Lonchura striata: one gene and its partners. Each later gene encodes a partner of the first gene's protein in a complex. Links are inferred from orthologs where the notes say so. Each region holds a gene or a part of one and is shown on either strand. Other genes may lie near its edges. The genes, in order: STX7, VTI1B, VAMP7 and BET1L.

The links.
Region 2: STX7 (region 1) and VTI1B share a complex: the UniProt entries of both Homo sapiens proteins name them as parts of the SNARE complex. The link is inferred for Lonchura striata from reciprocal best matches to the Homo sapiens genes STX7 and VTI1B.
Region 3: STX7 (region 1) and VAMP7 share a complex: the UniProt entries of both Homo sapiens proteins name them as parts of the SNARE complex. The link is inferred for Lonchura striata from reciprocal best matches to the Homo sapiens genes STX7 and VAMP7.
Region 4: STX7 (region 1) and BET1L share a complex: the UniProt entries of both Homo sapiens proteins name them as parts of the SNARE complex. The link is inferred for Lonchura striata from reciprocal best matches to the Homo sapiens genes STX7 and BET1L.

The regions. Positions count from the first base shown.
Region 1 is NC_134605.1:59,343,934-59,350,887, reverse strand, and holds the start of STX7 (syntaxin-7), read right to left. Parts: upstream 3,015-6,954; 5' UTR 2,927-3,014; intron 1-2,926. UniProt on the Homo sapiens protein: May be involved in protein trafficking from the plasma membrane to the early endosome (EE) as well as in homotypic fusion of endocytic organelles. Mediates the endocytic trafficking from early endosomes to late endosomes and lysosomes.
Region 2 is NC_134608.1:32,868,440-32,876,401, reverse strand, and holds the start of VTI1B (vesicle transport through interaction with t-SNAREs homolog 1B), read right to left. Parts: upstream 3,013-7,962; 5' UTR 2,975-3,012; coding exon 2,860-2,974; intron 1-2,859. Other genes in the region: retinol dehydrogenase 12, read left to right, coding at 3,585-3,664, 4,294-4,412, 5,220-5,375, 5,658-5,762, 6,218-6,427. UniProt on the Homo sapiens protein: V-SNARE that mediates vesicle transport pathways through interactions with t-SNAREs on the target membrane. These interactions are proposed to mediate aspects of the specificity of vesicle trafficking and to promote fusion of the lipid bilayers.
Region 3 is NC_134616.1:15,623,741-15,631,218, forward strand, and holds the start of VAMP7 (vesicle-associated membrane protein 7), read left to right. Parts: upstream 1-4,474; 5' UTR 4,475-4,512; intron 4,513-6,620; exon of another isoform or gene 6,621-6,703; intron 6,704-7,478. Other genes in the region: endothelin receptor type B, read left to right, coding at 145-294; DNA-directed RNA polymerases I and III subunit RPAC2, read right to left, coding at 1,536-1,583, 2,179-2,261, 2,577-2,653, 3,612-3,709, 4,306-4,335. UniProt on the Homo sapiens protein: Involved in the targeting and/or fusion of transport vesicles to their target membrane during transport of proteins from the early endosome to the lysosome. Required for heterotypic fusion of late endosomes with lysosomes and homotypic lysosomal fusion.
Region 4 is NC_134608.1:53,232,994-53,240,938, forward strand, and holds the start of BET1L (BET1-like protein), read right to left. Parts: upstream 3,012-7,945; 5' UTR 2,985-3,011; coding exon 2,966-2,984; intron 2,301-2,965; coding exon 2,209-2,300; intron 1,531-2,208; coding exon 1,474-1,530; intron 1,256-1,473; coding exon 1,088-1,255; 3' UTR 1-1,087. Other genes in the region: RIC8A (chaperone Ric-8A), read left to right, coding at 4,623-4,706, 6,949-6,996. UniProt on the Homo sapiens protein: Vesicle SNARE required for targeting and fusion of retrograde transport vesicles with the Golgi complex. Required for the integrity of the Golgi complex.

The DNA of each region.
Region 1 (6,954 bases):
TTGTCATTCCTGAAAGCTCCATCAGGACAAAATGAAGTGGTGTGACAAGCACTGCACATGTCAGATTTCACAACAGTCACATGATAATTTAGCAGACTGCAGTCAGGTACAGTTAATAAGCACCTAATCTAGTCTGTATTTTCTCATTTAGATATTCAAAGAATTCTCCTTCTCCCATAAATCTAGCCCAGGTACATTAGGGTAAGAACCCTTAAGCCATAGTTTTTCTGCTTGAGCAATATTATAGCATTAGGACCTAAAATGTTTACATGGACCCTTAATTTTCAGAAAGCAAAAAGTACATACTGAATTCCATAGAACACTTGAAAATTGTAACCTGATCTGATTTTATGCCTTTAAGTATCCAGAAACAAGTCATTGGGCTTTCCTTACAGGATATTTTTTTCCTAATCAAAGGTCACAGTAACAAAGCTTCTCCTAAACAATATGTGGCTTCCTTTATAAACTATCCCTCCCTAAAAAAAAAAAAAGTGCAAAATTCTTTAAGCAGGGTGAAAATACAGGCAAAAGTGATGAACTGCTGAAAAACTTGGGTGAAATTTCAGCAAGTCACAATGTTTGCTACAGAAAAACTAAGACCTCCTGCTACAGCAACTGAGGGATTCTCATAAGAGACTCTTAGCAACTGACTTAGTAAATACAGGTGAGCATTAAATCAGTCATTATTTTTGCTAGGGACGAGGGAGGTTTAATTCTTTTCTGGAGTTGTGTCTTTTTTTCCTTTATACTTAAGCTAAAATATTAGAGACTGATATTACATTTCCCACTTTCTGCTTTTACAGCTTATAATTTGCTGAAGTTCTGATCCACAGGAAGGCTGTAAGCTCCCATAATACAAAATCAACTGTGGAGGATAACAAATAAGCAAACAAAGTAGCAGTAAAATTAGATTCTTCTTGCTTTCTTAAAAGAAAAGTTTCCAGATTATTTTTTTATCCTCTACTTTCAGGTAGAAGTCAAACTTAAATCCATACATGGTAGGAAAAAGCAAAATTTAAAACTGCATCAAAACTAACAGCAGAGAAGTCAAAAGGGAACTGCCGACCTACTCTGCAGAATTCCCTTAGCCTTGCCATGTTACTGATGCTGACACCTACCAAAACCAAGCTTGCATCATCTAACAGCTCTATGTTATTAGATTGTAACATTGATGAGTGTTTTAGTCATTTTTCCTAAAAATACTTCTGTTGAACAAAGATGCAGTTTAAAGCAGCAACATTTAAACTGCTCAGCATTAAAAACTAAATTACATAAGCCTGAAATTCTATTAGGCCTAACGCATCACCAACACTCAGCATATATGGATAAAAATTAACATGCTTACAATTGTCTGATTCATCCACACTGATATTTATGATGAACTAGGTGAAGGAAGTGCATAGCTTTCACAAGCTTAAGAACATATTAGTGCTTGGCAAAATGCCTTAAGTAAGAGAATTATGTTTCCTAGGAGCACATAAGGCATTTAAAAGCCTCACGATGAAGCAAAGAATAGGAAAATGAACACTGGGGACTGGAACTATGGGGGAAGAGAGGGAATGGGAAGTCTGAAAATGGACCTGATGACCATTTCCAAGTTCCCAGTTTCTTGTGCAGCTGGTAGGCAAACAATATCTCACGGGAAAAAGAAGATGGATGAGAAGCCAGATATATCTGGTGTGCTGTTTGCTCTCACCCAATTCTCCATCATGGTAGCTTGTTTGCTACCAAGTGAACAGATCAAGCGCACCAAGGAACAAGTTACCTTTGTACAAAACCTGATTGCACAGCATGCCAAGTCTCTCTGAGGCCCACCAGGGTGCTAATGACTACATATAGCTCATGGTCTCTTTTCTTCTCTCTTGGGAGTTTCAGTTCTGTGTAAGCCACCAAGAAGAGCGCTACCTCATATTCTTCCAATGACTACAAAAGGCATTGTCATGAGGCAAACATGGACACAGGTTATAACAATGCCACGATTTAGCACTACTTTCTCCTAATTTTGACATATTTTAACTCTTTTTTTGGTCCCCTTTTCCTTCTTTTCCATTAAGAGCAATTGCACAATCCCCAGACTCTGAGCAGAGGGGCTGCACTGCCGGCAAAGCACAAGCTTGTATATCGACACGTCAGGAGGGCTCCACTCGCCCTGCTGGCACAGCCCTCTCTGCCTTTGGACGGCTTGTGGAGGGGATCACAGCACGGGAGCACATAGCTACTGGCCAAGTATCCTGAGATTTTAACACCGGGCATCTTCAATTAAGATGTAGTGCCCTGCACTGAAAGCAAAAGGGAGTGAAACCCTCCGCTGACTTGCTGAGTTTGAAGAAGCGCCCATTTCTGATGCAGAGCCGAGTGATTCACCAGGACAACAGCGATAACTTCGGGCCAGGAGCTGGCGCGCCAGGCCCGGGCTCTCTACTGACATCGGCCACTTTTATCGCGTCCCTTCCGCTCATCTCGGACCTGGAACAGCGAGGGGAGCATTTCCACAAGGCGAGGGTGGAAATGCACCCTACAGTTCCACACCAGCTCTATAAAACACCTGCTGCAGGCCCCGACCGTCCCCCGAGAGCATCGCCAAGCCCAAAGCTCTGGTCCTGTGGGTGTCACAGGGAAGGGTGCGGGGAAAGGAGCTGGTGCTGACACGGCCGACCGCGCTCCGACAAACAAACACCGGGCTCTAACAAACACCGCGCTCCCACACCAACACCGCGCTCCCACACCAACACCGCGCTCCCCCCGCGGCCCCGGCCCCGCCTCGCCCGAGCCGCCCCGCTCGCCCCACGGCCGGGCAGGGCGGCGCGGCCCCGGCTCCAGCGAGGCCCTTCCCGCCGCCCTGCGGCCGGCTCCCCGCGCCTGACAGCGCCTTCCCGGCCCGCCGGACACCGCCCCGGCTCCCCAGCGGAGCTCCCGCGGCTCTCACCCGGCCCCGGCGAACGCGCTCCCGGGTGCGGCCGGGGCCGGGGGCGGAGCAGGGCGGGGAGCGGCGGGCAGGCCCCGGCCCGGCCCGCCCCGCCGTGACGGGAGCCGGGGAGGCGCGGCTCCGCCCGGGCGGCTGCGGAGCGGGGCCGGGCCGTCCCCGGCGGGCGGCTCCGCCCGGCCTGCGGGGGGATACTTGCTGACGGGCCCGGGGGCTGCCGAGGGGAACGGGGCAGCCCCGGCAGCCGCAGCCCTGTGTGACTGGAAAAAGCGAGAGTGAAGGGTGGAGAGAGTGTCACTCAGGGAAAAGATGCTGTTGCATCAGGAAGCAAGGCTAAAACATGGTCAAGGATACAATATTACCGTGATAAAATACGACGTTACATTGTTAATAGACTGGTTTGCCCGCCCTGCCTTCCGCTTGGGTTATTTCTTCTCTAAAGGGGAATAGACTCTTCAAAATGAGTGCGTGGTAAATTGTAGATCTCTTCAAAGATGCCTTTGAATGCAGAGATACAAACCATACAGCTGGGAGTGGGGGCAGGGGAAGCCAGGAGCACGAAGAAGGATGCGTTCACACGTTCACCAGGCTCGGGAGGACAAAGAGGATACGATAGCCACAGCACGGGGGCTCCTCCTGGCCCAGCTACCTGAGAAGTGACAGAGGAGCCTCCAGGCTCCCTACACAGCATTTGAGGCATTTCCCCCACTTCTTCAAAGGGACAATGACAGGGCCAAACGCTCCCCAGAGCCCTGGGGCTGAGCTGCTTCGTCTGCAGGATACCCCCGTGTGTATTAAATAGCACTTAGCGAACAGCCCGTGGCACCCGATTGCTGGGAATGCCGCCTCCTCCACACTGACCAGCTTCACCCGAGGAAAAGCTGCAGAAACTGGGAAGTGCAAGTTTAATTCTGCTTCATCATAGAACCTGGTCATTGCTAAGATTTAGAAATAGCTGAAGCAGTGAAAAATATATTAGGCATTTTAACCCAATAATAACAGAGAAGTCTAATAAACTGCAAACACAACGGAGTGTTAAGTTAAAGGCCTGAAATAGGCAAGACTACCCTTTACCTTACATGGGTGGTTCTCGTTGGATCTCAAAGCATGCTGAAAACAGAGACAATATAGACTCCGACACTTGTATGGGCCTATGTAGAGTTCTTACAGTAATTGATGGTTGGAAGTGTCATTTTATCACTTTCATGGATTAAAGTTACTAAGGAAAAAAGCCATTCTGATATGCTTTTTTGCTGAAGAAATGCTGTATACATCATCAATCTATTTTTACCAGGCTATTTTATTAGTGATTATTTTAGCATTGCTACATGTGTGGGTGTTTTCTCCAAAATCCCACTAGATGGTGCACTAATGAGAGTATTATGCACATTCCTTCCAAATTAAGCGCCTGACTTGATTTATATAAACTCCATTGATTGACTCAGTCACTCCTGCTTTATAAAACTTCAGCAGAGATCACTGCCAGTTTTCCTCCAAAAGACAGAACATCTTTTACTTTATGATTTCAAAAATGTACTTCCCCTTGCAAAAATGATCCTTCATCAGTGAGAATACTTTTCCTGCAGGCCACCACTCAAGTACTTTTTTTTAGGCTTAGAGGTAAGACCCAGTCACTGCTGATCAATGCTCATTCTCATTCTATAGACACAAGGTATCCAAATACTTTTCTAGTGAAGCTGTGTGCTTCATGAAGAAAATCCTGCTGCTAGGTCACATCATAAATGTCGACATTTTGCTGTTAAATATCTCAAAGTCATATGATTATTTAAAGTAACCAGTTGAAGAATAATATAAAAGCCTGAGAGGGAAAAATGGATTATAAAATAAGCTTCTCAATGAAATTTTTGTACTATAAAAATACCTAAATAGCCTTTGTAATAGAATTATAAAATAATTATAAATGTACAGTTACTAGACTATTGATCATATTTATTGATCAGAACTGCTAATAGCATGGTATGCCCTTAGAATATTTTTGTTAACTCCTATAGAAAAGCCATTGAGTGGGAGAACATGCCCTGTTTCACCCTTTAAAATAAAACGAGAAGATTTCTTCAGTTTCTTATTCTAGCAATCATGCATAAACAGGGGTTGTAAAGAAGCCATGCCTAAATGTTATCAGAAATGCTGATGCATTTCATTGGCTCATCTCTAGAGTTCTCACATCAGCATTACCTGGGGGTTGAATTAAGAATCATCATTCACCTATCTCTCCTGTTTCGTGTGGAACATAATCAGATTTCAAATGACTGAATTAAATTGAGAAAGCTCTGAGCAAAGAAAAGAGGAAATGCTGAGTCCCTTCTATGTATAGTCACTACATACCATGGAAGATGCTCTGGATATTTACTGACTGAAGGTCAGAGTGTTTGCCATTTATATTCTTTTCATGTGTATAAAACAAAAATGAAAGGATGTCCTGTATATATATATCCCAGTATGGTATATAACATCTGAAAGAGATGGAACTTAAACCACACCAGAATGGTGTGATTTTGAAAAAGCACACCTTCCTCCTGGCCCAGCATCCAAATCAGGACCCACCTTCCTGACTGTATTTCTACCTCCCACCTCCTGCTCCTGCCCTGGCCCCTAATGAGAAGACACACAGGCCTGGCAGTGTGGGTGGCACAAGCTCCAGGGCCACCAGTGACACAGAAATGAGGCACTCATTTCCATGCAGCTCCCTGGGCCAGCACAATGCATGATGAAATGAAGGGGAGCAGCCCAGCCCTGGCCTTACGTTCCTGATGAGTGTCCTCTTTCCAAGGCATGAGCAGTGCCTAAGCGGTGTGTAATTTACTGTAGGCGCCAATTTCATTCTCTGCTATCACATCTCATTTGTGCACCTCTGGCTTTACATAGGAAGAGTAATGTTTTCAGTATTTAACAAAGAGTCTGGCAGAGCTTCCCAGGCAGTTATTACTGACACATTCCACCATCAGCAAGAATTCCTGTTATTATCGTTGTCATCTCTGTTTGCTAACTTAATCAAAATATCCACTCCAGAACCTGAAATGAGATTAAGTTCCCATTATACCCAGGCCTGTACATAATTATGATGGATGATGGTTTACAGCTTGAATAGATTTATGGTTTAATTATACTGCAGAATGACCTGTAAAATATCTCTATTAAATTAAAAAAAAAAAAAGCATTGACCATTTGCATGTTATTTAGGCTGGCACTTTCTCTCCAGCAACAGTAATGAACATAGTAGCATATGTTTTAAATAAACAGAGATCTATTCACAATATTGATAATGTTTCCTAAAAATAATAAAAAAAATTCACTACCAACTTATTTTCAAATCTTTCTTTGCCTAGGAATTTAATTTTCAAAGACATGTTATGCTTTCATCTGCAGTAGTGAAATGAGCTGACATTAATATTTCAAAGCCCGATGTTTAATTAAGTAGTACCTGAAAATACATAATTTCTCTAACTTCAGACAGACCATTTTGAAACAATAAGCATTTATAAAAGGCATAAAATGAAAGAGCATTGCTTTGTTCAGATATAGAAATACAAACCTACAGAAGAAAAAATATTAAAAGAATATATCGACTGCAAGTTCAGCAACTAGCTCCGATAGAATCCAATAATCTTCATTTGGAAAATGAGGTCATTGTTAAGCAATCAATAGTCATTATTTTACAGTTCATCATCATCTTTGTCCTCCTCTTAATTTGCAATTCATAATGACCTTAATTACTTTTGGGAACCATGCAAAATAAAAGAAGAAACTTACACAAAGGGATCCTGACAGAATTTGTCTAGGTAAACCAACCAGATATCAAAGGTAAGAGGACACAGGACAGCTATAAAGGTGAGGAAAATGTTGTTTAGTGGTTTTTCCAAAATTAATTTTCAGAAAATCAAGAATCTTGGCTACTTCCAGAATTTTAACAATATTTCCTCCTTACTTACCTACTCTGCCATTGCTACTGTACGCATCAGTACTCTGGGTTCTGCTTCTCCCTTTCTCCATAATTCAGCTGGCAGTTTAGC
Region 2 (7,962 bases), on another chromosome or scaffold:
ATTTGTGCTGATGCCATTGTTTGTGTAGCTGGGTTACAAATGAAACCATGGACATGAACTCTGGAAAAACAGCCTTTGGAAGTCAGTAATTTGTTTCATTCAGGTTATTTCACTAATCTGATTCAAGCAGTGCCCTCTTAAACCCACTTTGTTGTCTCAAAGTAATGGAAACCCATCAGAGATCTGGAAATGCAGCATTTCCTTGCTTTATTTCTCCTATTCAGAATAATAAGATGCTGCACTTATAAGCTGGCAGCCAAAGAAATGCCAGCTTCCAAAAGGCATAGAATCATGGAATGGTTTAGGTAAACCAAGCAGCTTGAGACCTTTTTGTCTACAGGCTAACAAGAAATCCAGCAATGTGGCTTGAAAACATTCTGCTGTATCTGGCTGGTATCCAGAAACACCAAAATATACCGAGAGATTCACTTGGTGTCGCTCTGCATTGAACCACAACTCAAAGCACAAGGACAGAACTCTAAAATGCAGCAGCAGTGCCTGTGCCACAGCAGCATCACCCACATGCTCATCAACATTAAACTAACTTATTTCCAGACACTTAGAAAGAGATTCAGTTGGAAAGTATAGCTAAGTGAATTCATGGAGAGGAAAATACATTATTTTAAACTTATCCAGGCTGCTTCCCCTTCTTACCAATTTGGATGGGGAAAAAAAGGGTGTTTCTAGAATTAGGAATTTGTCATCTTGTTTATATAGAATGAAACAGCATTTCCAAACCTCTGCCCCTCAAAGACATCCCAAGGACTATAGGTTCTGTGTTGCTCTTGGAGCATGTGAATTGCCTTAAAAGAGTATTCCAAGGTCTCTTTTATCACCTTCTGAATATTTTGGGATCAAATAACTCAAAAAATTAATATATACTCCCCTCCTCCTAAGTACAAGAAGCAAAGAACGAACATCAGGACAGTGGAATGACAAATTCCTAAATCTTAAACTCTCTTAGAAACACTTTAAAAGATAGTGCCAAGATTTTTGCAGGAAAAAAAAAAAAAAAAAGTAAAGAATAGAACAGTTGTCTTAAAATTCTGTAGCTTGTCTAAAAAAGTCAATGTGCAATTATTTGCAATCTCTTGAAAAAAAAATCCCAAGTATCACAAAAATAGTTGCCTGTAAATACTCCATTTAAACCCACATCTCAGAATTCACTGCTCATAACTACCACAGTGTCAAGCAGACTTGGTTTCACTTCACCAAGAAACTGATCATGCTCATTTCTATAGAGAAATAAGGATTTCTACCAGAAAACATATTGCTTCTTTTAAGCTTTTTATCCTTGTTGACCACTAGTGAAATTAAGTCAGGTTTGCAAATTGTCATTTGTGGGTTTCAACACCTTTCTTGTACCAAACTTCCTGAAAATGCTGATGCCAAGGACTGTGACCCTGAACTTAACTCATTAAACAGAAAGTCAGGTAAGAAACAGAGCCCTTCGTGCTCTGTGTTATCTAGTGCAGACTGGTATGTTCTGAACAAAGTGTTCTTATGATTTTACACAAAACTGATCAATTGCGGGAGAATGAACACTGCAGGAGAACGTGACTGACAGTCCTTGCTCATCACTGGGGTAGAAAACCTGAGCTGAACTACAGCAGCTCGTAACAGCCACAGATTACATTTCCCATAGGAAGGGTTCAATCAGAGGCATTCAGTGACACTGGCAAAATTCTCCTTGTCACATTGCTTCCCTTTCTGGTTCTCAGAACGCTGCCAAGTATCAAGATTGCATCAGAAGCACAGATCCTTACAGAGGACTGCTCTGTGAGAGCATGTTACCAGTGGTGTGCTATAAAGAATACCGGTGAAAACAGGTTGTGCTTCTAATACAACTTAGTGTGGCTAGAGTGATAGGTTTTCAATATTTTCTGAGTACATACTGCATAAACCAGACTTTTAAAACAATCATTTCAAATGCAAACATTCTCCAACAAATCTACAGACGTTTCTGGGAAGTTCTGCCAATAAAAACTGCTTCTATTTCTGCCAATGAGGTTTTAATTGTGAATCCAACATAGCAAATTAAAAAAAGGGGGGACAAGAACCCCAAACCCCCAAAGCACTGCAGTTGTTATAGAATCAATTTAGCTGGAAAAGACCTTTGCAGTCATTGAGTCCAACCTGACCTAACATTACGCTGTCAACTGGACCATGGCACTGAGTGCCACATCCAGTCTTTCCTTAAACACCTCCTTAAACTCCACCACCTCCCTGGGCAGCTCATTCCAATGTCTAATCATGCTTTCTGTGAAGAAATTCTTCCTAATGTCCAACTTTAACCTCTCCTGGTGCAGCTCAGGTCTGTGTCCCCTTGTCCTGTCACTGGTTGCCTGCGAGAAGAGGCCGAGCCCCACGGCTGCAGCCTCCTTTCAGTGGTGTGGAGAGTGAGGGGGTCACCCCTGAGCCTCCTGTTCTCCAGGCTATACTCCAGTTCAAACAGAAACAGCATGAAAGAGCGTCCAAAGAAGGGCTCCTCCTCAGAGACGGATGCCGTGAGCCTAGCACGGCAGCGCTTGCCAGCGGAGTTGAAATTTGCCAGAGCCGAGGAGCTCCAGTGGAGCGAAGCCACACACCTGCAAGGCCACCAGGACATGGCAGCAGCTGAGAACGACACAGGGCAGCGCCACCCGCCTCCTCCCAGCGAGCGCCTACCAGGAGCGACGTCCCCAGCCCCTAGAACCGCAAAGCCCCCCACACAGAGTCCTGACGGGACGCTGCCCTCCCCGCTGCTCAAACGCGCCTGTCTGACGAGAAGCACCCGAACGCTCCCGCCACAGCCCCGCAGCCGGCCGCGGCGGCCCCGCCCGTGCCTCGAGGAACGCCCACTCCCCCTGCCCGCCTCACCGGCCGCACTGCCCCGCAGCCGCTCGGGGACGCCCCGCAGGTCTCCGTGCAGCCCGCGGAAGATCTCGTGCAGCCGCTCCAGCTGCTCCGAGGACGCGGCCCCGCGGCCCGCCATGGCCCCGCGCCCCCGGCCCTGCCCCGGCAGGCGCTTCCGCCGCCGGGGCCGCCTCGCGCACTGCCTGCTGGGAGCTGTAGTCCCGGGGAGGCGGCCGTGCCCGCACCCCGCGGGGGCGCTCGTCCGCCGCCGCCACGGAGCGCCCCGGGCCGGCAGCGCCGGTGCGGCCCCGGGGCTCCCCGGTACCGGCGTGACCCGCCGCCGCCGCGCTGCCCCCAGGCCTGGACGCCTGCCCACGTGCACATCGGTGCACGCTCCTTGCCAGGGTTCATGACATGAGCCTCGGCGTGGGGTTGTAAAAATGTGCTTCAAACGCCACTGCCGACAGCCGCCACTGCGCTGTCCCTGGAGACATTTCTCGCTCCTTAATTGCGGACTGCGTTTCAGAATGTTTCGCGGGACCCAGGTCGGAGTACTGTGGTTCCGGGGCAAAAAGCAGCGGGCCGCCCGCGTACCTGCGGGCAGGGCCGGCGGGGGCGCGGTGCGTGCGGAGGTGTGGCGGTACGGGTGTGGGCGAGGCCAAGCGGGCGGGGCGGAGGCGGATCCGAAAGGGAGGGGCGCGGGCTGCCGGAGCCGTGCGCTGGCGGTGCGCGGGTAGCTGGCGGCAGGGATGCTCAGCTGCTGGGAAGCCGCGCTGGGCGCCGCCGTCTCCGTGCCCGTCTTTCTTTTCGTGGCAGCGCCCTACATCAGGTGCGTCTTACCGAGCGCAGCCCCTGCCCTTCGCGTGTGTTCCGCCCCGCAGGGCGGCGCCCGTTGGGGCGCGGAGCTGGCGCGCTTCGCGTTTCTTGCGTGTGTGTCTGTGTGAGTGCGGCGGGAGTGCGAACAGCGGGAATCCCGCGCTGGGGTCGGAGTTATTCAGGCCTGCCCGCTCCAGCGCCCCGGCGACACAGCCGCGCTGCCGGGGCTTTCCCGGGGCTCGCTCGGCCCTGGCACCGCCGGTGCTTTCCCCGGGCTCCCTCCGGGCGCCGGCGCGCTCGCGGCGGCGCGGCAGGGGGCGGGGCCCGCGTTCTCCTCAGGGCGCTGCGGCGAAGCCCATTGGCCAAAAGGCCTCGAGGCGCGCGGCAGCAGCCAATGGGAGCCGTGGCTCCACTTGACGCACGGATGGGGCGGGGCCGCGTCGGGAAAGCGCGGGGGATCGGGGGTGGGGCGCGTTCCCGGTGTCCCGATCGCGACAGGGCCGTGACCAGCCGCTTCAGGCGAGGGCGCCCGTGGCTCCCTGGGGTGAGCCCGAAAATTGATGCGAACCCAGGTTCTGGGTGCTCAACCCCGGACGGGGCATGCTGAGCAGGCAGAGGTGACTGGTGCCTCCCCTCTTGCAGGCGGTATGTCGCTGGAGGACGGTGTAAGTCGACAGCAAGGTTGGAGGGGAAGGTGGTGATAATCACGGGAGCCAACACAGGCATCGGGAAGGAGACCGCCAGAGACCTCGCAAAAAGAGGCAAGTGCAGTCTTGTCAGCACGTATGCCTCTGCAGCCGGAGTGGCTGTACCTTGTGCCAGTAGCCCCTTTTCTGGACCTAAGGAAGAGGTGTTGTAGGCTTATATTGAAGTAAACTGGATTCCAGAGTTACTGCAGATGAGCCCAAGTGCTGTTCCTTCCGAGGCTGTAACCACTGAAGTGCAGGTTTCCAGTTCCTTAACTGGGAACTTTTCATTGCTTGGACTCCAAAAATGTGCCTTGGGGACATAAAAATGCGTTGCATTGCAACTGATTGAAGGGGACTGGGGAAGTTCCTGGATTCTGCTTGTAGGAAGCTGAGAAATGCCATAGGTCCACCACTATGTGCTTTAGTTATTCATGTTTCAAGCTAATTTGATGCAAATGTTATTTGGCTAACTAGTAAGAAGATTAAACTACCTGTTCACAATCCATTTAGAAATTACTCTGGCTGGAATCCATGACCTTTATGTGCTCCTGGCTTGATGTTCCCATTATAGGGGCAGATACAATGCTATCATACCAGTGTTGTATGCATTCCTGACCTGGGAGAACATGGACAGAGGCACTTAAGATGTGTATTTGCCTAGTCTGAAATCATCTTTCAGCAGGACTGTAGCTCACACTTGAGTGGGGAAAGCTTTGTCCCTTCCAGCCATCCCCCTGACTGATGCTAGTTCCCTAAAGAAACAGTATATTGTTTGTAATTGCTGGGCATGGTCAGCCTGCTTGCCATAGCCTTGATCATCCAGTGTGCTCCAGTGATCTCATCTTATGTTCCTGTTGTTCCCCCCTCCCCTCCTTGCAGGTGCAAGGGTAATTATTGCCTGCAGAGACACAGCAAAGGCAGAAGCTGCAGCCAATGAAATCCGAGCTGAGACAGGGAACCAGCAAGTTATTGTGAAAAAACTGGACTTGGCTGATACGAAGTCCATCCGGGAGTTTGCTGAGAGATTTCTAGCAGGTAGAGTCTCTAGATTCTTATTTTTAGTGGGAGTATTTTACTAAGGACTGCTGTCTGTTCTTCTAACCATTGCCAAAGCCCTGTCCTGCTTGTCTCTGTACCTCTTGGGTACTGTGGTTCATAGCAGGGGCTGGTCAAAGGCCATGAGCTAGTTTGTGGTAGGAGATATATCCTTTTTTTAAGGTGATGTGGCTGCAAGTCAGACAACAAGGGGTGAGTTGTACTACCTTCTTGTCTGCATTCTCTGTTTCCTTGTTTAAAGATATTTGTTGTTTCTTGCAGAGGAGAAGGAACTCCATATTCTCATTAATAATGCTGGGGTAATGTTATGCCCTTACTCCAAGACTGCTGATGGCTTTGAGATGCATCTGGGAGTCAATCATCTTGGTAAGGCTAGTGGAATCATGTTTGCACTGAATATGGAACCATAGAATCGTCAAGTGATTTGGGTTGGAATTGCCCTTAAAGATCATCTTCTTCTAACATCGATATCTATAGCAAAATGCCAAAGGAAAATCCTTTTGGATTTTCTCTTCCTCATTCTTCCTTTTACTGGGATGATGGAGGGTCAGAGTCAGAATTCTGGAGATGCAATGTGATGTGTTTGTGCATTGTGGATCTGTATGTGTTACCTGGGACATTTTGAAATGTATGATGGCTACAGCTTTTTGAAGATGAAGAGCAGAACCTGAAGGCCCCAAAAAAAGTGTAGATGTCAATTCAGGGGAATTTAACAGAAATTTTCTTTTTCCTGGACTTGAAATGAGGACAGCAGTAAGGTACCACGTAGAAGCAAGCAGGGGAACCCTTTCTAGAAGGATGACCTTTCGTCTCCCCCCTAGGTCACTTTCTCTTGACTTTCCTCTTGCTGGAGCGTCTGAAGCAGTCTGCCCCAGCCCGCATCGTGAACGTGTCCTCGCTGGCTCACCACGGAGGCCGAATCCGCTTCCATGATCTCCATGGTGAGAAGAGCTACAATCGTGGCCTTGCCTACTGTCACAGCAAACTGGCAAACGTGCTCTTCACCCGGGAGCTGGCCAGGCGGCTGCAAGGCAAGTCCCGGGGGCAGGTGGGGTGTTTATCTGCTTGGCTTTCTGAGCACCATGATGGGGAGACTGGATTGAAGAAAGAGCTGCAAATTGTCTATGCAGAAATTGAATGGTTTGAGGCAAATGTCACTGAGAGCTCTTTGCAGGAAGAAAATATCTCCTGTCTGTGGAACCAGTAGACTTACAACACAGATTGTCTCTACAGCAACAGGGTAGAGTTTAGTAGCTTGGCACAGTTGAATGTATCTCATTGTTCTTTGGTGTTTGTCAAAAACTAGCTGCATCCACAGAGACAATTGTAGTATGTGGATGGAAGCTGAAAACAGCCACAACTGCAGTCTCCAATAGAAAAGCTAATGCACACTCAGCTGCCTTAAATGGTGGTGGCCCGTAGAACAAGCATAAGATTAGATAGTACCTTGCAAGTCACAACATCTGTCACAGTCGTGTCATTCAGTCCTGTTCATAAACTTAAGTAATACTGATTTACTACAACAGAAGTAGTGTCTTCCCCAGGAAATTACTATTAGAGTAAGTCAAAAGAGGCAGGTGTTCTCAAAAGCCTGCTGGAAACTGCTGCTGGTTTAGCACTCAGACCCTCTAGCACTTTGTTTTGCAGAAGGCACATAATGACTCCTGTGTTTAGAAGGGAGCAGGGGATGCTCCTCATCCAGTGCCATGGATGAGTGATTTAAACTGCTTCAAGAATCGCCATCAAAGGTATTAGCAAAAGTGGTTTTAACCTGATGTCATAAGAGGGTGACTTAAAGTATGATGGCAAGGTTCAGTCTATTATTTACGTGGAAGACACATGCAAAGGAAAACTGATTTAGAATTAAATTAGAATGATTCACACAGGACTGGAAACACACTGTGTAAGGAAGACCCTCCTGATGAATCGTGAGGCTCAGCATGGAGCCCCATGCTTTTTAAACTCCTTAGGGAGCCTATGTCCAGTTTGAGTCTCAGATTTGGACGATTTATATGTATACCAAGTTTCTGTAATTATTACTGAGCAGCTACATGGACTAGTAATGTTTCCTCAATATTAATTCAGCAGTCTTTACCAAGGATTTATTGCAAGCAAAGGGCCTCTCTGCCTTGCTTAAGGAAGGCTCTCAGTCTCAGGTAAGAAATCTCAAACCTTGAGAGGTGCTTCTGCTCCAGGGGAGAGTTAACCTGCTGTGCAGTCCAGTTGCAGTCTGAGCTGAGGTTCAGCTGGACTCATCCAAAGATTTGCTGTTGGTAAAAGCTCTCTGCCTTGAGGAGCAGCCTTGAGAGGTGAGCCAGCTCAAGTGAAGACTGTCACCCTGCAGTCATATTGCCTAGCAGGGAGAGCTCAGAGAAGGCTTAATTAGGCTGTAATATTTACAGAATGGAGTGGTTGGCTTGTATTCAAATTACATACCGTGGGAAAGGTACATGAGACTCAGTGCATCCACAACCTTATTTGTTCCTGGATAAAAGAGTATTGGAAAAGCCATGTGCTACTGATGGGTGTTCCAAATGCATGTGCACTGATACCCACTGGCCTCTGT
Region 3 (7,478 bases), on another chromosome or scaffold:
GCTCCCAGCAAAATGCAGGACAGCAGTGCTCAGCAATTCCCAGCCTGGCACTGTTCAGGGACACCTGCTGGCACGATGTGGGAATATTTCCTCCTCTTTTCCCATATCCCACGTGTGTGACCTCTCCCTCTTGTGTCTCCCCAGTCCTGCCTGTGCTGCTGGTGCCAGAGGCCAGCCCTGAGCATCACCCCCACGGACGAGAAGGGATCTGTTGGGAAGTGGAAAGCCACGGGGCAGGAGCTGGGGCTGGACCGGAGCAGCTCCCGCCTGAGCAACAAGTACAGCTCTTCCTAAATCCCTGCCACTGTCCAGGACACGGCACAAGGACAGCAGGACCCCTCTGATCCTCTCCCAGGCTCTTCCTGGCTGGGCCTGAATCAGCTTTGCCTTTGTGTCCTAACCCAACTGGAAGGAGCTGGGGCATTCCCCAGGACCACCTCCAAGCCCAGCTCCTGGCCCCAGCGGTCACCCCTGCAGGAGAGGGAAGGACATTCACATCCTCACAGGACTTTTCATTTCCTTCCAGGAAAACCAAAGGACTTCTGGCCACTGCCTCGGGGTGGAACGTGGGGTGGAGGGATGCGTGTGGGAAGGGAAGGAATGTTGGGGTGAGGAGAAGAGGGAGAGTGACAATTCCCAGCTGTAAAAGCCAAGCAAAGCCTGTGAGGGACAGAGATGTCCTCGTGGTCATGTGGAGGTGGGAAAGGCAGTGGAGAAGATTCAATCTCAGCTGGAAGAGCCACTAGAACCAAGTAAAATATGGGAAAGGGCTCTCTGGAATTTATTATTGGCAGTAATTCATCCCCCAGGTGATTTGCCAGCAGTTTTCAAGGCCAGGTTGGACAGGGCTTGGAGCACCCTGGGATAGGGAAGGAGTCCTTGCCCATGGCAGGGGTGGGAGGAGAGGGAGTGGGAGTCCCTCCCAACCCAAACCAGTCTGTGAATCCATGTGATTCCATTCTAAGTTCTTGCCAAAACTTTCAGAAAATCTACATGAAAAAGCTGTATTTATCAGGTTTTTGACGATTTTTTGTTGGCTTTCCTACATCTCTCTTTTCCCTCTCTCTCTTTTCCTTCTTTTCCCCTTCTACCTTGTCACAGAAAAAAAAGGGAGAGAGGAAAAGGGGAGAAGAGATGAGACCTGCAATTAAAACATTTTCCAGGTGTTGGGATGGACTTGTAGCTTAACTGTCACTGAAATGTAAATGTTTTACAAATAAATCATGAAGACAAATGGGTTTGAGGAAAACAGACTGAGGAATATCAAGACCAGCCCATTTTCCCAATCTGTGGTGCAGAAATTTTCCCAAATATCCCCAATCGGTGGAGCAATCTGTCTCCACGTTCTATAACTTTCCATCCCTGTGCTGAGCAGAACACTTAATGAGCTCTGCAGTATCTAAATTAATAAACTTTTTATTATTAAAGAAAATACAATTTGCAACAAAGTCATAAAAAAACCCAACAAAAACGACCTTGTTTGGACACAGGGAATTCAACACACAAAGGTTACACATCCATGCCACTCCCAAAGGCTACTGCATCTCCTCCTCCTTCTGTGCCCTGAACTCCTTCATGCTCCTCTGAAACAAAAGCAAAGAACAAGTGTCACCAACATGCCCCTGGGGTGGCACAGAGCCACCACCCTGCTGTGCTGGGACTGCTCTGGCTGGAGCCTGGAAAGGCTGGGAAGCTCTGACAGAGCTCCAGGTGGTTTTTCTGGAAGTGACTGAACTTTACAGTCACTCCAAGGGAAAGGGAGCCAGGCCATGCCACAGACCAGGCAGAGCCTGGCCAAAAAAACTCCCAGGTTTTCCTGCCAAAGGTGTCTCCAATACAGGCCTCAGTTTCCCATTCTGGGAACAAGGGACAGAGCTGACCCTGAGCTCTGCAGGAATGGCCCAAGGGACAGAACTGACCCTGAGCTCTGCAGGAATGGCCCAAGGGACAGAACTGACCCTGAGCTCCCCAGGAATGACCCAAGGGACAGAGCTGACCCTGAGCTCCCCAGGAATGACCCAAGGGACAGAGCTGACCCTGAGCTCCCCAGGAATGACCCAAGGGACAGAACTGACCCTGAGCTCCCCAGGAATGACCCAAGGGACAGAACTGACCCTGAGCTCCCCAGGAATGGCCCAAGGGACAGAACTGACCCTGAGCTCTCCAGGAATGTCTCACCTCAAAGGTGTTGAGCACGTGTTGGCACACACCCATCAGGTCATTCAGCCCCTTCCGGAATGGCTCCACAGCAGGAAGGGCCCCTTCGGGAAAAGATGGGAAAAGGTGGATTAGGGACAAGGGGGGTGGCTTCTCAAGGGCAGTCCTTGCCTTCCCAGGGGTGTGCCCCCTCCCCAGCCCTACAGCTTGCAGTGCCAGGGATGCTGCTTCCAACTGCAGCTGGAGCAGAATTCTGGGAGCAGCCTCTGAGGCTCAGCAAAGGGGCTCAGCACTGTGCCTGGCAGAGGGCAGGGAGAAAGGGCTTTCCTTTATTTCACAGACTCCTGGGAAGCTGGCCTGAGCAGGGGGAGTTCCATGAGAACAGGGCCCCAGGCACAGAGGGCCAGCCCCAGCCTCACCTCTGGTCTGGATCCTGAAGTTGATCTTGCTTTCCGAGGGGTGTGTGATGCAGTAGCCACAGAACTCCACGTTAGGGCTGCAGGAGGGCAGAGGGGAGAGGGAGCAGTGAGACCCAGCCAATCCACAGCAAATCCCAGGGAATTAGAGGCTCAGGGCACACCAGGCCTGCTGGGGCTCTGGATGTTTCTAGAATGACTATGGGGAGGGATGTGCTGAGGGGAAACTCCCTGTGTGTCCTGGTTCCCTCACACCCATCTCTCTCTGAGCTGAGCTGGAGCTCTACAGGGCAAAGACACAGCTGGCACCGTGCTGGCACCACAACCAGAGCAGTGCCAGCTCTGCAGATCCAAACATGGGGTCCTGGATACTTGCAATTCTCTCTGTAACCAAACCTGCTGCTGCTCTGCTGGGTGGAATAGGTCCAGGGCACTGGAGGAGTTCCCAAAATGTTGCAGAGCCTCTCCTGCACCTGAGCTGAGTGCTGGAACTTTGCCCTCAGCTTCGGCCACCAGCTTCTTTTATGTTGCCACAGTGATTTATCAGAGGGACCTTAAAGGCCACCCAGTCCCAGTCCCAGTCCTGCCATGGCCAGGGACACCTTCCACTATCCCAGGGTGCTCCAAGCCCCAGTGTCCAACCTGGCCTGGGACACTGCCAGGGATGGGAAATCCACAGCCCCTCTGGACAGCAAATGGAGTCCAGGACTCAGTTACTCCTCCAGCAGCTCAGGAGGGACTGAAAGCCCTGGGCTGAGCTTAACTTGGGTTCCTGGGCAAGGGGAGGGTGTGGGTGGAGGCTCAGGAGAGGCTGGTCAGGCCCTTTGAGGGCTGTTGGTGCTCTCAGGGTCCTGGCATGGCACAAGGAAAAGGAGGAGCAGCAGGTGGGAGCAGGGCTCCGTGTCTGACACAAAGGCTGGAAGGGCGAGCACAGAGGGGATTTGGGATCGTTTGCCTCATCCCAGGGACAGCTGAGGTGTGGATCAGGAAGGAGAAGGCCAGAGCAGGGCAGGGAGGTTCCTCAGAGGCCCCACTCACTTCTTCATGACCATGTAGCGCAGGGAGTTGCCCAGGGTGTGATCCTCGTCGTGCAGCACGAACGTGATGCAGTTCCCGTCCGTCCCATCCGCCTGGATCTGTCACCAGTGCGAGAGGAGAGAAGCTGTGACCTCCCTGAGGTGGGGGACCTGAAGGGACAGGATCAGCTCCCGTGCTCAGCTTCCCAGAGTAGCTGGGAGGGTTATAGATCTCACTGAGCCACCTCTGCTGCTGCTGTGGGACCAAAACACCTTCAGGGAGGAGGGAAAGCTCCAAAATTCCACCTAGTTTTAAACCAGTCCTGACCTCCACTTGCTGCTGTTCACCACAGCATGACAGAGTGCCCCTTGGAGCCATCCTGACACCATCTGCCCTGATGCCAATGCCACCCTACAACTAAGCCAAGCTCGGGAATGACAGAACCACGGGAGCACGGAATCGCTGAGGCTGGAAAAACCCTCCGAGATCCCGGAGCACAGCACTGCCGGGGCCAGCCCAACCCACGTCCCCAGGGCTGCAAACCCCTGCAGGATTTAAAGCACTCCTGCCCGGCAGGCCAGCCCTGTCCGTGGAGGAATTTCCGCTAAGTTCCAGCCTGACCCTCCCCGGCACAACGCGAGGCCGCTTTCCCTCAGGAGCGGGGCCCCGCTCCGGCTCCCGGCCGCGACCCCAGCCCGCCCCCGCCGCCGCTCACGGTTTCCAGCGCGGGCCCGCTGCCGGCCATGGCGGCTCGGCGCTCCCGGCGGCCCCGCGGCCGGAAACGCGTCGGGCCGGGCCGGGCGGGGCCGAGCGGGGCCGGCGGGGCCCGGGAGCGCCGGTGAGCGCGGGGCCGGGCCGGGCCGGGCCGGGCCGGGCGGGGCCGGGCGGGGCCGAGCGGGGCCGGCGGGGCCCGGGAGCGCCGGTGAGCGCGGGGCCGCGCCGGGCCGGGCCGGGCCGGGCCGGGGGTCGGTGCGGGGCCGGCGGGAGGAGGCCGCGCTCGGCGCAGGCACGGGGGGCACGGCGGGGTGGCCGCGCTTACCGGGGCTCACCGGGCTGTATCGGGCTGTATCGGCGGGTGATGGGAGAGCTGCTGTGGCCTGGTGCGCTACTGATGGGTACTGGTGCGCTACTGATGGGTACTGGTGCGCTACTGATGTACTGGGGTGTAATTAGGGTGTTAGTGGCCTGTTACCGGGGGTGTTACCTGCGCGTTGCTGGTGGGTTATTGCCGTGTTACCGGGATGTTATTGGTTTGTGATTTGCTGTATTACTGGGATGTTATTGGTGTGTTATTTGTTATATTACCGGGATGTTATTGGTGGGTTATTGCCGTGTTACTGGGATGTTATTAGTGTGTTAATTGCTGTATTACTGGGATGTTATTGGTGTGTTATTGGGGTGTTACTGGTGGGTTATTGCCATGTTACTGGGATGTTATTGGTGGGTTATTGCCGTGTTACTGGGATGTTATTGGTGGGTTACTGCCGTGTTACTGGGATGTTATTAGTGTGTTAATTGCTGTATTACTGGGATGTTATTGGTGTGTTATTGGGGTGTTACTGGTGGGTTATTGCCGTGTTACTGGGATGTTATTGGTGTGTTATTTGGCATATTACTGGGGTGTTGCTGGTGGGTTATTGCCGTGTTACTGAGATGTTATTGGTGTGTTATTTTCTGTATTACTGGGATGTTATTGGTGTGTTATTTGCTATATTACTGGGGTGTTATTAGTGTGTTCTTGCTGTGTTAGTGGGGTGTTGCTGGTGGGTTATCGCTGTGTTACCGAGATGCTATTGATGTGTTATTTTCTGTATTACTGGGATGTTACTGGTGGGTTATTGCCGTGTTACTGGGATGTTATCGCTGTGTTACTGGTGTGTTATTAGTGTACTAGTGGCCTGTTACCAGGGATGTTACTGGGATATTACCGCAGTATTACTGGGGTTATAGCACTGTGTTACTGGCCTGTTACCGGGGATGTTACTGGGATATCACCACGGTATTACTGGGGTTGTATCACTGTGTTACTGGGTTGTTATTACCATGTTACTGGCCTGTTATCAGGGCTGTTACCAGTATGTTGTTGGGATGTTTTTAGTGTGTTAGTGGGGTGTTGCTTAGTGTGTTACTGGCTTGTTACTCGGGTGTTACCCATGTATTACCTATTATTGAGGTGTTACTAGTGTGTTACTGGTGTGTCTGGGAGTGGACGGTGTTGCGGATGTAGCACTGCATGGCTTAATTAGTTAATTAATTAAGCACAGGTGTGCTGGCAGGGGGTGCAGGGAGGCTGGAGGGAGTTGGGCTCTGCTCCCAGGGAACAGTGACAGGATGGCAGGATGTGCCATGGAGGTTTAGGTGGGATATTGGGAACATTCTGGCCTGGACAGGGCTGTCCAGCCCGGGCCCAGGGCAGGGGTGGAGTGCCTGTCCCTGCAGGGATTTGAAGCCGGCTGGAGGTGGCACTTGGGGACATAGTGTGGCTTTGGCATTGCTGGGAAATGGTTGTGCTCGATGCTCTTGGAGGGATTTTCCAACCTCAGCAATTCCCTGATTCCATGCTTTGGGCTGCATGTGTTCCCTTGTTAGAGAGCTGCTTACTCAATCACCGTTGTGTTGTGGGTCCTTACCCTCCTCCAACCCTGCAATGCTGCTTCCAGGAAACGTGATGGGGCTGGAAGACCACGTGGATTCATTTCCTTGGTGATTTGGCATCCGTAGGGATGCAGTGGGGGAACCTGAATTAAACTGTGTGCAAAAGGGAGGCTGAAATTGGGATAAGTTGAAGCACAAATGGCACAAATCTCAGGTTCAAAATGAACAGGAGAGCCCCAGGACTTCATGGTGGAATGTTCTGTAATGAAATAATGATTTTTCCAACTGCCCAGCAGAGGTTAAAGGGAAGCCTGGGCTGCTTTCTGCTGAGCTCACCCTGCTCAAACGATCTCTTTATTGCAGCAGTTTGCAACTCACTGAGTTGCAACACCTCCCCTTGTTCCGCGGTGCCCTTTGCTTTCTGTTAGGAGGATTTCTGGAAGTGCAGGCAGGGACTTTCCACTGCTCACTGGCACTGAGCTGGGAATCTTTTGGGCCAGAAGAGTTGCTGGAAAACGGTAAATCACCCCTACAGGAGTTTTAAACATCATGCTGAGACTGAGCCTGTGTTTCTGATGTTCCTTAAGAGGTTTTTTGGTGCCTTTTTTCCATGCCTATGTATTGGGAAATGGGAATTGTTCCCTGGGAGGGTGGGCAGGCCTTGGCACAGGTGCCCAGAGCAGCTGTGGCTGCCCCTGGATCCCTGGCAGTGTCTCAGGACAGGTTGGACACTGGGGCTGGAGCAGCCTGGGACAGTGGGAGGTGTCCCTGCCATGGCAAGGGTGGCACTGGGTGGGCTCTGAGGTCTCTCTTACCCAAACCCTTCTGTGTTTCTGGGATCCTTCAGTTCAGTCCCCAGAGGGACCTCAGACAGCAGCTCATGCATCTTGCATTGTCTTTTTGGAAGGTTTGGTCTTGGCTGCTTCCAGCTGTGTAACATTGTAAGTTTAGATAGAAAAATGCTCTGCAGAGGGGTTGATTCACAGGGATTTCATTCTCCTGTAACTGCTGAGGAAGGACGTTCTGTGGCAGTTTAGCAGATTTGTGATACTAACAGGAGTAACACAGGCTGGTACAAAAAATATTCCTGGTTAATCTGTTGCTGCAGCTGGTGTTGCTGCCAGGCACAGAACTCCTGTGTCCTGAGCACAGCAAGGGCCAGGAATTTGGGGAGTCAGGACTGTGAACTTGGGAGATGAGGCCTGTGAATCCGGGGAAGTGAGAGCCAGGAACTCAGGGAATTGAGGGCTGGGGGATCCTGCAGTGCCAGCGAGTGCCACCTCACTCTGCTGC
Region 4 (7,945 bases), on another chromosome or scaffold:
AATTCCCACTGGGAACAGGGAGAAAGCAAAGGAACACCCAGCCATCCATCCATGAAGAGGGTTTGCTGGAGAGTCTAAATCAGAGGAGAAGGAATGGCTGAGCCCTGCCTGTTACAGGAAAAGAGAAGCAAATAAGCAAACACACCCTCCAAGGTAAAGCAGGGGTTCCTTTTGTACTCTCTAAATGCATAAACAAAACAGCAAATCCCTCCTTGGATCCCCCCACTCCCAAGAGCACTGCGGGGGGAGTTCCACCTCACTTTATTGGCACTACATCTCCCCAAAGTGCTCTAAAAGCAGGATGCCACGTTAACCACAGTTAACTGGACCTTCTGCCACCGGTATTCTTTACCCTGATTTAGTAACTTAATTTGCACATGTGTGGGAAGGTTCTGGAAGGTTCCACACAAGTGCAAATCCATGTGGTTATGGACTGTGGCCCTCCCTTCCCAGAGGGTCCAGCCTGGTTTGCCCACAAGGATGATAAAGACAACCAAGCCAGGATTTAATGAAAGTCCCGCTCTCCTGCATCTCTTCCCTGCTACAATGTGAGAGTATCCAGGCCCAGATCCATTGCTAATTCCACCCGGATTAGCAATGCACAAGTTTCCTTTCACAGTTTCCTTTCAGCCCAGGGATATGGTCTGCAAGTCCAAGGGAAATGGAGAGTGGCCACACGGAATGTAAGTCACACATTGGTACTCCCAAATCCCCTAAGTCAGCATCCTAAATCCTACAGCTCGCAAAGCTCAGCTGGGTTATGGAGTATCCACAAGTCCCTGGATTTGTTAGTTCCTGGTTTTGATCGAGGGAGGTCATGTGGAAGTGGCCCTTAGAAACAGCCCACGGGATGGAGACAAGGCAGGAGGTCACGGCCAGAGCCATGACCCCAAAATCCTGACAGACACGAAGATCCCTTTGGAGCCAAACTTGTTTTGGAAGAGCTGCCTGGGCCCAGCCGGAGCGCTGACAAGCTGGAAGGAGAAGTCACTGGGAAGGTGGAGGTGTGGCTGGAGGCTCCTCTGGAAAACATGTGGCCAGGTCTGTGGATGGTGAGGTCTGGCCTGTGCCACCTGCCAGCCCGGGCTCAGGTCCCCGCCCGGGACACCAGGTAGTAGAGGATGAAGAAGATGAGGACGAGCACCGCGGACACGGTGAGGAGCAGGCGGCGGTTGTCGCGGCCGGAGCGCGCCATGCCGGAGAAGCGCTTCACGCTGCCCGTCAGCAGCCCTGTCACGCTCAGGAAATCCGAGTCCTGGTGGGAGGAGACACCTTGGAGGCATTGCAGGATCATAGAACTTCCCAAGTTGTAGGGACTCACAATGAGCCAGTCCAGCTCCAACAGCACAGGACACCCCAACAATCCCAGTGCTGATTTAGGGCTTCTTCCTTAAGGGCTTTTGCCGTCCCACCTCTCATCCCAATTCCCTGATTTGCACAGAAAGCCCCGTGTCCCGTTTGCCAGGTCCTTACCATGCCATCCAGGTAGCGGTTCTGTTCCTCAGCATCCTTGTCAATATCCAGAGCCAGCTGCAGGGCAAGGCAGGAAATGGGCATTAATGAGCTTTTAATGTCCAGAGAACCTCTAAAATCTGAAATGCAAATTATTAAAACAAGCTGCTGCTTTCCCAGCTCCAACAGACACACAGGGGCTTGTCTGGTGCAGGAACAAGGAAAATGGCATTTCCCTGTCAGGTGAACTTTTTCAGCTCTGAAAATAAAGCCTGGCTGTCTAAATCTGCCAGCTAGAGAAGGTAGTTTAAACCCTGGGACACAATGGCAGGAATTCAGCTTGCCCTTTTACACAGTGAGTCATCAACTTCTTTCATGGTTTGTACTACACTTTTAATAATAATTTAGAGCTTAAAGCTCTAAATCAAAGTGTTTGATGTTAATAGGAGCAAACCAGCATTAAGAACAGTTACACAGAGACACAGGTATTTTCCAAAATTAATCTGCCTGCCTTTTTTCCATTAATTTTTCCCCAAGGATGTGAGCTTAGCAACACTCCTGTGTTCAGGTTAGGCAGGGCTTGGAGCAACCTGGTCTAGTGGAAAGTGTTCCTGTCCATGGGAAGGGGTGGGACTGGATGAGCCTTAAGGTCCTGTCCAACCCAAACCTTTCCATGGTTCTGTGATCCCCTGCAGGACTCCCAGGTAATCAGAGCCTGTCCTTCACCTCAACACCTGCTGTGACCTCGGCACTCACCGACTTCAGCCTGGTGACCTTGCTGGCCAGGCTGTCGGCCATCCGCTTGTTCTCCACATCCAGCAGGTCCTCCATGGCGCTCGGGCTCTGCCCTGGGGAGAAGAACGAGGAGCACACATCATGCCTGCCGTGCCACAGCACAGCTCTGTTCCCACCACAGCCCCTCCACACATGCTTTGTGCAGTGGAACCTTCTGAAAATGTGACCAAAACACCACAGACTTCCCCCAAACAGGCCAGGGTGAGAAGCCAGAATTCAGGGTATCTGAAGTGCCACCCCAGCCCAGCAGCAGCTGTGGGGGTTCCATGGCCAGTGACATCCAGGGGTGAGATTTGGGTGAAACCCGGGGCCCTCTGCCCCTCGGCCGTGCTGGGGTCTCTCGGCATTGCCCCCATTGTGGGGCAGGTTGGGGCTGGGGGGGATTAGGAGTTCTGGGGCAATTAGGGGCTATGGGGGCTCTAAGAGGTATTTAGGGTTTATGGGGGGGGGGGGCTTAGGGATTCATGGGGACAATTAATGGATAGAGGGAGCAATTAGGGGCTCGGGGGGGCAGCCCAGAACCCCAAAAAAGGCACAGGGAGGCAATTAGGGCTTACGCGGTGGGGGGGGTGGGGTGTTATTCCCGGGCTATAGGGGGAGAAATCGGGGCACTGCAAAACGCCCCGCGGGGTTCAGTGGGATCGGGAGTTCCTCCTCCCTCCGAGCCGCTCCAGCCCCTTCTGCCCCCCAAACCTGTCGCTGTCCCTCGTCCCCTCACCTCGGCCCCGCTCCGCCATGGCTGCCCCGGCCCGTCCCGCCCCGCCGGGCGGAGCCGCCACGAAATGTCCGCCCGCTCTTCCTCCTCCTCCTCCTCCTCCTCCTCCTCCTGCCCCCCGGCGCCGGGACCCTCGGGCCGCTCGCCCGGGCCGGGGCGGAAGGGCTGGAATTCCCTCCCGAGGGATCCCGGGCCGCAGGTACGGCCGGCGCCCTGCCCGGGCACAGCGGCGGGACAGGGGCTGGGGGAGGAAACAGCGCCTTGCGGGCAAAAACCGGGGGGTTGGGGACAAATATAGGGCTTTGGGGACTAGAATAGGGGTCTGGGGGCAAAAAGAAGTTTTGGGGAAATAATCAGGGGTTTTGGGGGTGGGGAAATAGAGGTTTAAGGGGAAAATAGGAGCTTGGGATAAAAATAGAGGTTTGGGGGGAAATAGGGGCTTGGGACAAAAATAGAGGTTTGGGGGGGAAGGTAGGGGTTTAGGGATATAAACGGGGTTATGGGGACAAAAAAGGAGGTTTGGAATTTACTCAGATGGTGAGGGAAGGAGGTGGCAGTAGGAGTATGGAAATGGGGATATGCCCAATGATCCGTTGGTTAATGTCATCCCTCCAAAAGCAGAGGTGGATCCCCTCCATCCCAGCCCCTGCACATGGGGATGCTGCCCCGGGCCAGCCCAGCCTCCTGTCTCCGCAACTGTCCGCCTTCCAAAATGCAGGATCTGCCTCTTTTGGTCCCCCCAAAACGCCCCTCTGGGGCTGCGTGGGCAGGAGGGGACAGCCCGTGTGATTCCCAAACCCCGGGAACCCTGTGCCTGGGATCCCGGTTTGTTGAGGTTGGTGTGACCAGCTCAGCCTCATCCTCATGGCAACACGGAAGCCGAACACATGTCCGAGCTCAAATCTGCTGGATTTCCCCCCATGGGAATCATGTCCCAGCGCCCTGGGCTCGCGTGGCTCCGTGAGCCGCTAAACCGGTGCCGTGTCCGAAATAATCCCGCGGTGCTGCGCATCTGCTGGCTGGCACTGTCGGCAGGGACATCCTCGCCCGGCGGTGGCCTGCAGGGATCGGCCATGATCCAGCCCGCCACCAAACCCTCCTGCTCTGCTTCCCACCGCCTGCAGCCGGAGGATGCTCTCCCGCCTGGCTGCCTCGCCGCTCCGTCCCTTGTCACTCCGCGGCAATGTTTCGTGCTTTATTTGTTATTTTCCCCCTGTGCGGCAGCAGAAATCAGGGCAGGCGGGGAGGAGGAGGAGGAGGAGGAGGAGGAGGCAGGGAGCTATTTCAGGGAGCTGCTGTTATCTGCTCCACGTTAATCTCCAGCTGGTGGGGGGAAGGTTTTCCCTGAGTGCTTTCCTGCGAGGGCATATATTAAACATTGAAAAGCAAAGCGAGGAAGAAGAGGATTAGCAGGAGAGAGAGAGAGGAAGTTGGCTGCTGGCTTTGCTCGGGTTATCCATCTGCTCCACTTTTATGGATGCAGCAGTGTGAGCAATATCACTTGGGATTTTTTTGTGTTGTGTTTTTTCCCTCCTTGCTCTCTCCACCCCTTTCTCTCTTCCCTCTCAGAGGTCTGTGTGCCGAGCTGCTTTTCCATCACCCTGGAAATCCCCTTGCTCCTCTTCTTCTGGGGCTGTGCCATAGCTGAGCTGTTGGGATAATGGAGCTCCAGGCTGTGGTGTCCACGCTGGAAAGTGGGGAGCAGGACACGGTTCTCAAGGTGCTCCAGGTCTACAACCAAGAGGTGAGTGAGCATCAACGCTTCCCTCATCTCAGGAACTCCTAAAAAAATGATTATCAAGATCCCAAGTAAAGCCTGGCCTGGAAATAAGAGTCAGGGTGAGGACTGAGTAGGAGGAGCTTTTATGTTAAGGTAGTTTTGGAGGTGCTGAGAGAATCCAGGGAGGGGCTGCAGGTGAAACGATGTTGGGATTTGCAAGTCAAAAGATGATTGGAGGTAACTGCTGGGATCTCATATGGGCATGGCTCTGAAAGCAGTAAATAATGAATGTAGAATGTAGAATATCAAACCCCAATGATCTGGAAGCAGAGATGGAAGTGTTTCTAGCCTTAAAGTAGGAAAAGATAATCCGTGGTGGTAAATCTCTGCTTGGAGAAAGGAGACTGAGGGGAGACCTCAGCCATTTACATCTTCCTCCTGAGGGGCAGTGGAGGGGCAGCTCCAGTGTCTGCTCTCTGAGCAGTAACAGGACCCAAGGGAACAGCTGGAGATGTTTAGGTTTTATATTAGGAAAAAGTTCTTCCCCCAGAGGATGTTTGGGCACTGAACAGGCTCCCCAGGGAATGGGCACAGCCCCAAGGCTGCCAGAGCTCCAGGAGCATTTGGACAGTGCTCTCAGACACAGGGTAGGATTGTTGTGGTGTCTGGGCAGAGCCAGGAGCTGGACTGAATGGATTGTGTGGGTTCCTTACAGCTCAGGATATTCTATGGCTCTGTGAAATCCTGTTTGAAACAGACTCTAGTTGTCAGAGAAACTCGGAGGTTTCCCCTGAGAGGGGCTGGCCCTGTGGATCACTCTGACTCACTCTGCACCAGGCTGGAGTAGGTGGAAGCCAGCAGGGAAAACCTGAGGAATATTTTGCAAGAGTGTGTGAGAGAGGGAGTGTGTGGAGCTATTCCTAACAGTCAGATTTGGAACGGGGAGATATTGGCCAAGAAGGAGCAGGTGTCTGTTAAGGACAGCACTAAGGATTAACAGCACCAGCAGCAGGTGCAAACAGTGTCTGTGTGCCCCCAAACCATGATATTTCCTGTTGGAGTCCCCCAGCTGGGTCCTTCCTGGGGTATTGAGCCTAGGGAACTGCAGCCACAGGGTTTGCTGGCCTGTCTGGAGGAAATGGAGCAGTCAAAGAGGATTATGAATCTGCAGATAAACCTGGCACTGCCTGGCATTGCTTCTGCTGCAAGACTAATGGTTCTGTACGCTTTTCCTCTGGATTTGTTTTTAATTCACTGTTGTGCATGCAGTTTTTGCTTGCTGGGAATATGCTACAGCTAAAGCAAAACCCCAGGTGTGGCCAAAATACCCCCAAATGGGATTACAGCCTGAAAAGAGGATGTGCTGAGGGAACAAGCAGCCTGCTTGTGGAACACGGCAGTGGCAGGACTGGGCCATCAGCTCCTGGTAGTGTGGATGGATCAGCTCATGGAGCCCACACTCAGCCTGGCTGGAGTACACCTGTCCTGCCCCCACACCTGGGGCTGCTCCAGGCAACTGTGTCTATCACTGCTTCCAGGCTGGACAGAGCCCATTCTATCCCTGGGCTTTTGGTGACTGCACACACATAATCAGTGTTTTATGGATTTTAAATGTTTTTGTTCTCCAAGCTGGGATCAAACACTCTCTTGGTATGAACAAGGATTGCCTCAGTCACTGGGAGGTGCTGCTTCTCCCCAGGCACCTGTGATCTCCAGTTCCATGGGAGCAGGTTTGGTCAGGAAGGAGACTGTCAGTGAAGAACAAACAAAATAGCAAGAGAAACACAATGAGTGGAGATCAGGAGTGTTTGTTAGCATGGGGACAGGATGGAGTGTGGAGATCAAGTCCTTTGTGTTTAAAGAATGACCTGGATAACCACGAGGATCCATTCCCATGTACCAAGGAGACAAGACTTCTTTTGGTCAGGAAAAGGAATAATAAATATCAAGGGGAGACGTGTAGGCACAGCTCAGTGGTATCACTGAGCACAGGAATTACCGGCTCTTATAGGATATTGGGATTGGGATGAATAGCCACTGTGCTGCTGCAGTATTTAAACTAAATCCATCTGTCAGCTGGCCTGTGGCATTCCACTGGTGCTGTGGAGCCAGGGGTGATGCCCATGATGTGGGGGACTGTCAGGAGATGGTTTGTTTGCTGTTGCAGCATGTTTTGGACTTGCTGCTTTCCAGCTGAATGGCTCTTCTCTGGTCCCATGGAGTTTTAACCTATTCCTCTTTCTGATTGATTTTGTTTTTCCCATAGAAATCTCAGTGCTTCATCTTTGAGGATGAGGAGCGGGAAGAGAGGAAGGTAGGCACATGCTGCTTGCTGTCCTCCTCTGGTCAGTGTGTAAATCTGCTGCTCTGTACTCATGTCCAGCTGGGCTTGGCAAGCAGCTCCCACATGAGAAGAACTGAAAGTTTTCCATTCACTTGGTTGGGGAATTATGTGCTTGGACTGTCTGGCTCTGCTTTTTCCATCAGTATTTGGTGGTTTTGGATAAAGATTGGCATCCATCTGACACTAGCAATGGTTCCATGATCCATATAGTCCCAGTCATGGATGTGATCTCTGATGCCTCCGGACAGGAATCACAGCAGTGCTGGCTCCGGGGGAGGGTGAGGGGCTCTGTTGGGAGCCAGCAGTGGGATTTGCCAGGAGCTGTGTATTAGCAAATCCTTTGAGCTGGTGTAATCTGGCACTTGGAGGGAAGGAAGACTCTGCCTGCTCATTCCTGCTCCTGCCTGGCTGTTCTGCCATAAGAATAACTGTTTTCCCTGGGTTATTTTCCAGCTGGCTCAGTTCTGTGGTCAGTTCACTGGTGGGTGGTGCCAATGTCTGTGTTAGCACAGCAAGTGCGGGCCAGGCGACCGGGGTGGAGAGTTGGACCTCCTTTGGCTGTGCCAGGGCCAGCTGCTGCCACATGGAGTGTTCCAGGCACAGCCTGAAATGTGGGACTGGATCTGATGAGATCTGAGCTCTTTGCCTTGCACTGACCCACTGTGTGAGCTGGCACAGTCACACAGGACATGGCTTCAGGCACAGTGTCCCACTTTTGGGATGTATGCCATGAAATATGAGATGAACAACACCACTAGTTCCTGGTGCTTGAGTTTACAGATGGTTCAGCTTCAGGCACACACCCTGAGATCTCTTTCCCCTGAACCAGCCTGAGGCTTTGGTTGCTGGGACTGTATCTGAAATTCTGTTTCCCTGTGAGGCAGGAGAAGAGCTGTACTTCATCATTTCCCCAGGATGT